2 linked regions of the Nothobranchius furzeri genome follow. The protein of the gene in region 1 interacts with the protein of each later gene in a biochemical or structural test. Links are inferred from orthologs where the notes say so. Each region holds a gene or a part of one and is shown in the gene's direction. Other genes may lie near its edges.

Region 1 (4,601 bases):
TGTGCACGCTGTCAATAGCAAGATATGTATTTGATCATTTTTATCGGTGTTGGAGAAATCTGAAGGTGGTGAGTCATTCTGGCAGATTGTAATTAACACCTGTCTCATGCAGGTGTTCTGACATTGCAAACCTCACACACAGAACATTGTGTATGTAACAAAATAAATAAGAAATGACTCCCATCTGAGCATTTTAGCATTATTATATTATTATATTAGCACACTGACGGTGGGACAGCATTCTAAACGTGTCAGGCTATTAACAGCGCGCTGAAGATCTGAAGTTCAGAGTGCTTCTGTCGGAGGTCAGACGCGGAACCACGGCTCACAGGTGCATGTGAGCACATCTGGGCTGGGCAGAAGTAATTTTACAACATTGGTTTAAATAGTGCCAATAACGAGACACAGTGACTTGAGCGGCTCATGGAGCTGTGCCGCACACACACACACACACACATACTGATTCAACAAGCGCATGCTGCGCTGTGCCGTCAGACTGAAGGAAGAAATTAGGGCTCTGGTTAAACGTTCCTGCTTTAAGAAAACCGTTAAATTGCATTGTTTATGTGCTACCTGGGCACTCTAAATATTGATTTAAAATTAAATCAAAGGAAATTGTAATGGTATTGAATGTTTATTAATTACGATTTCAAAAATAATACATAAACATAAAAATGAAAGTGATGGGGAAAAGGGTCGATCATATTTTTTTTAACCCTGTCTGTTGAGTGACTGTTTAGCGTGACGTCTGATATATATATATATGTATATATATACACACACATACATACATACATACAATGCTCGATACCAAGAGTTTTCCTATCAGTTTGTGAGAAAAAGAGGCCAGAACACAGAGGGTTAAGCAGCATCCATGAAGCATGCTCATAGTATTAACCAATGGCAACGCGAGGCGGCGTGGCCATGGCAACAGCATCCGGTGTTGTTTTCCTTTTTTTCTCTCTACTCTTGGATACGCATCCTGGAGCTGCCCTTGTGATTGGCTGAGCTCTCTTTGGATGTCACTGGGGCAACCGAATGATGGGAAGTTTAACACATGAACGGAAATGTCGGCGCTGAATCTCACTGGCTGCCTGTGATCGGCTCCCATTCGGCCTCCTGTGAGAAGCACAACTGCCGAGGCGACCATTGGGTTGTTCTTACGTCTGTCTCATGAAGGAGGTTCGTTTTTTTTTTTTTTTTTTTTTTGTATTGGGTACGGAAGCCGAGCGGGGACCGGCTGGTTTCGCAGTGGCCGCGGATCTCCTCCACCCGAGAGTATGGCGGCTGGAATCGCTCGGGATAGCGTGGGAGACGCGGAGGCATGCCCGAGAAGGCAAAAAAGAAACAAGAGGTTCCTGTGAGGAAGAGTCGGGGCAGTTTGAGTTTGTGTTTAGTTCTGGACTGGTGACAGTCTAGAGATTGAGCCTTTAGTTGAATCTCAGCTAAAGTGTGTGTGATTTTTTTTCTTTTTTTCCCCCCTCCAGCATCCTCGATGGAGCAAGTTTGTTTTTATGAAGCACACAGAGGGTGAGCTAAGCAGATGAAAACGGTATTCGTCCTCCTTCCTCTGCACGTTTTGGACAGCTGCAGTCCTCGTTTGCGCGTGTCGCTGTCAGTCTCTGGCCTGCAAATGGGGGATTTCTACCCAGAAATCCACGTCGGGGCACCGAGTCTTTGTGCTCTGCCATAACAGCTGAGCCACCGCGCGCGAGGCACGGGGACAAAAATGGGACGCGGATGGTGAACGCGATCGCTCATTTCAATGTCGCGCCGAGACTGATTGCCTACTGATTGATTGAATCCACAATGCGCGAGTATAAAGTTGTGGTCCTGGGCAGCGGTGGGGTCGGGAAATCAGCCCTCACTGTGCAGTTCGTCACCGGGACGTTCATCGAGAAGTACGACCCCACCATAGAGGATTTTTACCGCAAAGAGATCGAGGTGGACTCCTCGCCCTCGGTGCTGGAGATCCTGGACACCGCCGGTACCGAGCAGTTCGCCTCCATGCGGGACCTGTACATCAAAAACGGACAAGGATTCATCCTGGTCTATAGCCTGGTGAACCAGCAAAGCTTCCAGGACATCAAACCGATGAGGGATCAGATCATAAGAGTAAAAAGGTGGGTGCAAAACTAACAAATGCATGTCGGAGATGACATTTCATTCTTATTATTAATGACCTTTTGGGGGGTTATTTAGTTTCAGGGCCTGGTGAACTAAACCTCGCCTACAGCTGCTGTGCCTTCATCCTCTGTATCAAACAAGTGATTTTTCTAGACTTTATGCCATGTTTACCTTCAACAGGACTGATCCGAGGCCAGTCGCAGCATGGTAAATACACCAAGCCAGATGCTGCAACCGCTGCAAAAATACTCAGGAATACCCAGGATTCAATGCTACTGAAGCTCTGCAGAGAGCTTCAAGGAAAGAGCAGCTTTTGCTAAACTGTTGGGTTTGTTTGTGAGGGGGGGGGGGGGGGTAGTACCCGCCAGCCTGGTTCTGCTGAGGAAAGACCATACAGTTTTTAATCCCCACAGAAGGAGAAGGCAAAGATTGCCTGATGTGCCTGCACTGATGGTCCAGAAGTGATGTCATCACGGAGAGCTGCTGATTGATTCAGGGTTGTGTTTTGGTTTGCTGCTTTGTTCATGCTTGCCGGCTGACTTTGCATGATGTCATAAACCCTGCTGAGAGCTTAAATGTGCAGTGTCATGGATGCTCAAATGACCATTCCTGTATGAGCTCTGATGGTGGACGCATTAAAATCGGCTTATGCCTTGTAATATTTAGTGATACGGCTAATTAATTTAGATGATCCTCAGCATTTGGACAGAGCAGCTGAATCCAGCCTTAGTGCGCTGATTTGGTCTCAATTCTGACCACCCTGGAAAAACCTGATCTATTTTTTTTGTCTCCACAAAAAAAAAAAAAAACATTAACTAGAAGATGCCTATCTCTCATTTCAGCTTTTATCACCTCACTGGATTTTACAAATCCCACCAGCACCTATCTCCCCTTACCAATAATATTAATGTGTGGCTCTGTTTGAAAGAATGAGGCCAACATGTTTCCCCCACATGAGTTAAAAATACAGCAAAAACAGGGTATGTTCAATCTGTGAGTGTGTGTTTTAAATGTAGATGTGTGCATGATCACACAACAGATAGAGCCAGGCTGTTGTGTGTGATTTCACACCAAATATGTTGGAGAATCTGGTGGTGTTTTCTAATATCACACTAGAATTTATTTATTTATTTATTTATTAGTGGAACAAAAACATGAACATTTTACACACTACTCCAACACAGCTGTTCATTTTAAAACTCCATGTTTTGTGCAGATTTGAACACTTAAAATCTAAATTTAAGTGAATTTTTTTTGTTTGTTTGTTTTACCTTTGATCTCATGATGAAATGACCTCCTAACAAATGCGACACATATCCATTGGTAGTGTTGCGATTTACCTGTTTGTATGTGTTGTAAATATTCAACCTCTACCACACCAAATGTTAGCTATGTTTAGCTTACATGTACAGAACAGGCAAAAACATTATAAACACACTATAAAAGAATAAAGCAGCATGCGTGTAAAAATCAAACATAGTTTAAAAGTAGGGGTGGGAATTTAACGATTAATGAAAAATATTTATGCGTTAAAAAATTAATGCTTGAGCCCGAGCATTCCCCAATTGTGGGCCAAAGATTAGCATAGCCATTTATCCTCTATATATCAAAAAATAACATCAAGCACCATCTCTAAAGAAGCTGCAGAGCCTGGGCTACAAGACCATACAACCCTGTTTTACGTGCTCCAAACACAATTGATGCGATTATGGCAAATCACTCTTCAGAAAGAAAAGAAAAAAAGAAAAAATAATTGACTTTTAATTTTCTGTTTTCTAGTCGGTAGAAAGCATGCAGGTTGTAACTTTATTACAGCAGGAGGGACAAGTGGACATGCAGCATTCATCTTGTAACTCTCAGCAGAACTTCCCCTGAACTCTACACTAAACCTCTATTTAAATAAGCTGTGCTCTGCTGCCACCCAGTGTTCATTTCAGTACACAACATTTACAATGTTCCTTGTCCATTTTACACTTCATCAAAAACACATATACTGATATTTACACATTCCAACAAATCCTACAATGGTTACCTTTACAATGAGACCAAAGTAATCAAATAGACCAGAAATGTACTCATTTAAGTGCGGGTATGTCACCTGTGCTTCACTTACATTATTTTAATTTTACAAAATGCGTGGGGAAAATTGTCTTGAATGCTTAAAATGTGATTAATCAAGATTAATTAATTACAAATCTTCTGGTTAATTTGATTATTTTGTAATCAGGTCCCACCCCTATTTAAAAGATAACATGTTTACATCTACACAAACCCCTGTGCAAAGGTGCTGCAAACACTGGATATACTCCAATGATTGTTGCTATTAAAGGTGGAATCGACATTCTTGGAAAAAGTCACTCAAGCTACATTTTGAAAAACAATTCAAAGGCCCAACCTCTTTTCTGAGACTCCCCACTAGGGTCACAGAATGGGGCATTGAATGCAGAGCTGCCTAGTGTATTGGATGGAATGCC
Region 2 (4,393 bases), on another chromosome or scaffold:
CCTGTGGGAGCAGTAAAACAAGTGGGAGCACCAGCCGGAGCCTCGGCAGCATGACAACATGTTCTGGGATTGATTTCTATCGGATGGAAGAATCAACAACATGGCCGCTCCTCAGCGTGCTCTGAATGTTTAGGGATCCGGGACGGATATTAGCATCACACTTCTGCTCATAGCTGCCGGGTTTGGAAGTAAAAAAAAAATCTCTTTCATACCAAAGTTGTTACAGTGCTCAGGAATTTGCAGGAGTGCTGTTTAGGAATTTCTCAAGGATTCCAGCGCGTCTTTAGCAGATCAAACAGGAAGTTTTATTTTTTTCAAATGCACTAAATGTAATCTAATGGTAGCTAAAAGTAAGATCATCAGAACGATAACTGAATCTGAACAGCTTCTTTTGATGTGGTGCAGCTCAGTGATGAGAAAGTCTCTCTCTCTCTCTCTCTCTCTCTCTCTCTCTCTCTCTCTCTCTCTCAGCACAAAATATCAGTTTAGATGATGACGTGATCATCCTAAAGCACATTTCTTTCTAAATGACCACCATCAGTAATCCGCTGTTTTGTTCAGATCAAACAGCTCAGCTGATTTGGTCGTGATGGGTACAGCGCAGCAGTAGTTCTGTCTTATTCTGGAAAAAGAGCAGTTCCTGACACTGGCCAGCAGGGAGCGCGGCTGGGCGTTAAATCCTCTAAATCTCTGTGATCCAAAACCAATAATCTCCTTTGCATCTGCTGTGTCTCAGAAGCGGCCTGTAGCAGCTAATGATAGATTATTTGGTTTCATATGAGTTACTTTTGGAATTATTCCGTTTAGTTTAACACGTGGTTTGGTTTATTTATACTAAAACGGAGATAATTTTGTGGGGGTGTGGAAAAAGTAAAACACTGCTCCCCTTGGAGTAAACAGAGAGATGAAGAGCCATGGCTCAGATTCTCTGTTGAGACGTTTTTAATGTTTACTGTTGAGCTGCGCTTGTTTGTGTATAAGTTCGTGATTTCAGGAGAAAAGCAGAGCCCCCACTGTAGCTGATTGTTGTCTTTCCCCACACTGTCCTGCTGCCATAGCGAGCAGAAACAACACAAGGCCTTCGTTCCCCAATGCGTGACGTCAGAGCGGAGGAGTTAACGCTGCCTTCAGGAACGTCTGGGGTTCCTCCCTTTCAAAGTATTACAGGAGCTGTTAACGTTATCTTTTGAGTTGTTTCTAATGACACAGATAAATACTTTAAATAAATAGGATTGCTACACTAAGTCAAATACAGATATATTAAAAGAACAACAAAAACGGAAAGTTTCGGCCTAAATTAAAATCAATCGGGTTTTCGACAGTCACTAATCGGCTCAGCTGGAGAAATAAAGGTTTTCCGATGCAATTGAAAGCATCAATAAGTTGGGGGCGTGGCTTAGAACCCCCTCAGTGTGAGTCAGGAGGATTCTGAACGCCTCACGCCGCAGCGGTGATCTAACAGAGCTGATTTTACGGTCGAACCGACCCGAACCGGGCCGCTGCTTTGGCAGCAGCGGCACTTTAGGTTTAAAAACGCCAAGAAAATCTCTCTAAAATGCCGCTGTGACCAAACGCCCGGCATCCATGGTCTTTTTCCCGGGTATGCACGCCGAGGCGCGCGGCCTCAAACCGGGACAGCTGCTCGAAATGTTTGACTCGTCATGGAAGGTGCGGGACATTTGGGACGGGGTGAAGCTGGAGGTGGTCGAGGACCCCAGTCCAGTGGTCCTGCACAGCTTCACCCACCTGGACCCGGACATGCCGCTTCTCGAGGTGAGGATGAGGAGGGTGGAGGTGATGGGGACCCGTTAGCTGATGCTGTTTGTTGTGGCTGGGAGTAAGATGGGTCCGGGGTTCCTGTCTGATTCATCCGGATACAATAGTAAACTATTAATCACAAAGCCTTTGTACCGCAAAGCAAGCAATAACTACATTTATGTTTTCTTTCCTTTTGTTTGTGTGTGTGTGTGTGTGTGTGTGTGTGTGTTTGTTCGTGTGTGTGTGTGTGTGTGTGTGCGCCTAATATTAATGTCGATGGTGTGTACCCTGCGCTGACAGAATGGTTTGTTCTGATCCAGAACTTTATCTCTGCTCATCCTCGTTAACCTCATGGTGTTTAATCAGTTTACTGTTGTTGCGTGACTGTGTGTGTGACCCCCCCCCCCCCCACACACACACACACACACACACACGCACGCACGCGCACCTGTTTATGAGTCTGACCCCATCATGGTGATGTAAGTCACAGCATCTCTGCTGGGTTGCACTTTTTATGTCAGCTTTGTGTGTGTGTGTGTGTGTGTGTGTGTGTGTGTGTGTGTGTGTGTGTGTGTGTGTGACCTATGTGGCTCTATATGAATGCAGGACATTTACCATATAAAACCATATAAAATCGATCCAGCAACAGAGTGAAATAAACCAATCTGCCAGTTTTTCTTTAATTCTTCTGATGATGATTTGATCTCTAAAGGCCACGTTGTTTTGTACGTTGTTTTGTACGTTCTTCGCTCTGCATGTAGATATTAAGCTCAACCTCATATTTCTGATTGGGGAAAGCAGTTGTAATCCTTCCGTGCTTTGATGGTTTACTACTTCCAGTAAAAGTAAATCTCAGATTACGCAGCACATTTCTTAACCCATCAGAGAAAGAGGGAGGATAGGCTAATCTGGTCAGTGTGACGTAATCCACCATAACTCATTTTCCATTTGTTTTAGTGCATTAATTCAACTTAGCTTCATCTGTCAGACCTGGTCTGATCTCACCTACAACTCTACAAACTCATAGCTGTTTGCAGATTGTATGTTCATAATTTAAAAAAGCATTGTATACTTTAAGTATATTTGAGTAACCCCTAAATCAACTTTATTTTTCTGATCATCTGTATAATTATTATTTAAAAATGTAAAATTCTGTCTAAACTGTCATCGTTGCTCCTCTTCAGGCTAAAACTACATTGATTTTGAGTCAGTCATTGGCGCTTTACAACACAATCAGTCATTCACCCATTCACACACACATTCACACACTGATGGTGATGAGCTACGATGTAGCCACAGCTGCCCTGGGGCGCACTGACAGAGGCGAGGCTGCTGAGCACTGGCACCACCGGTCCCTCCGACCACCACCAGCAGGCAACGTGGGTTAAGTGTCTTGCCCAAGGACACAACGACAGCAACAGACTGAGCGGGGCTCAAACCTGCAACCTTCCGATTACGGGGCGAGCGCTTAACTCCTGTGCCACCATCGCCTGATTGTATAATAATAATTAGTCTAGTCTCGGCCACGCCTCTAGCAGGCTTGACCACTCGAGCTGATATTAAACAATACGGCTCAGAGCCGCTCGCCTCCTAAAAAGACGTCTTCCTTCCTTTCTTCTAGTGTAGGAGGTGGAGGGAAAATCCTCCGGCCTGCTGCAGTTCCTTTGTTCGTTCATCCTACTGAGATGTGTGTGTGCACGTACGCACTTGTTAAAGGCTTGTTTGACTGACAAACTCTGATAGCGCATGTGGGGGTGCCGTCAGTCACTGCCTCCTTCGGTCCACCGGGCGAAGCCACTTTTAGGCACATCTGAAGTTTGGGTGAAGTAAGACTCCATCCAGGGGTAACCAACCCTTCAAAGACCAAGTTCACTTGTTTTTTCAACACATCTGCAGTGGTCTCTAGTATAAATCACACCTTGTGAGCTCTGGTGCTCTTGTTTCAGGAAATAGAAGCGAGCCAGATCAGACTTGAGCAGCAGACGATGGATTTGGAGTCTTATATCCTGATATTTGGACACCCCGCCTCTGATTGGATGCTCGGTGCCGACGTGGTTCTTATTTGAAAGTTGTCGGGTTTTTGGAAGCAAAGCGACGGTGAAACCAGAGACGAGTGTTGATGTTGTCCCTCCTCATCTTTATCTGCATCCTCCACGCTGACGCTGACTCAGCAGAGCTGCTCCCACGGCAGCTTAATAACAGCCTACGGTTCCGGGCTTCCCAGAATCTCCTCCAGCACAATCTAAAACAACGATTCATTCCAGAACCGGAACAGAACACTGCGCAGGACTCCGGTGACCCGCATGTCCTGTGATGTGTTTGACCCAAATCTGCATTTATTATTATTATTATTATTATTATTATTATTATTATTATGAACACAAGAAAGCAAACCCAAACTGCTGCTGTGATGTAAAAGCAGGATGAGCTGAGGGCTGTTCTTCATGAGCTCCTAATGACTAAAACACAGTTTGGCGAAGCGGGACGGATCGGGTTGGATCACTCGCTGTGGAAGACCTGACGCCTGGAAAAACACTTCATACTGTTTCCTTAAGCCTCCTGTCTGTCTGTAGGGGGGGGGGGGGGGGGCATGGCAGCAGGTTTGTTTGTAGGGAATCAGATGTTGTTTTCCTGC

Evidence for each region.
Region 2: the proteins of ras-related protein Rap-2a (region 1) and ralgds form a complex in vitro, tested with the Homo sapiens proteins (2 studies listed by BioGRID). The link is inferred for Nothobranchius furzeri from reciprocal best matches to the Homo sapiens genes RAP2A and RALGDS.

What each region holds. Positions count from the first base shown.
Region 1 is NC_091754.1:22,191,970-22,196,570, reverse strand, and holds the start of ras-related protein Rap-2a, read left to right. Parts: upstream 1-1,664; 5' UTR 1,665-1,809; coding exon 1,810-2,123; intron 2,124-4,601. UniProt on the Homo sapiens protein: Small GTP-binding protein which cycles between a GDP-bound inactive and a GTP-bound active form. In its active form interacts with and regulates several effectors including MAP4K4, MINK1 and TNIK.
Region 2 is NC_091750.1:38,665,491-38,669,883, reverse strand, and holds the start of ralgds (ral guanine nucleotide dissociation stimulator), read left to right. Parts: upstream 1-1,435; 5' UTR 1,436-1,584; coding exon 1,585-1,773; intron 1,774-4,393. UniProt on the Homo sapiens protein: Functions as a guanine nucleotide exchange factor (GEF) activating either RalA or RalB GTPases and plays an important role in intracellular transport. Interacts and acts as an effector molecule for R-Ras, H-Ras, K-Ras, and Rap.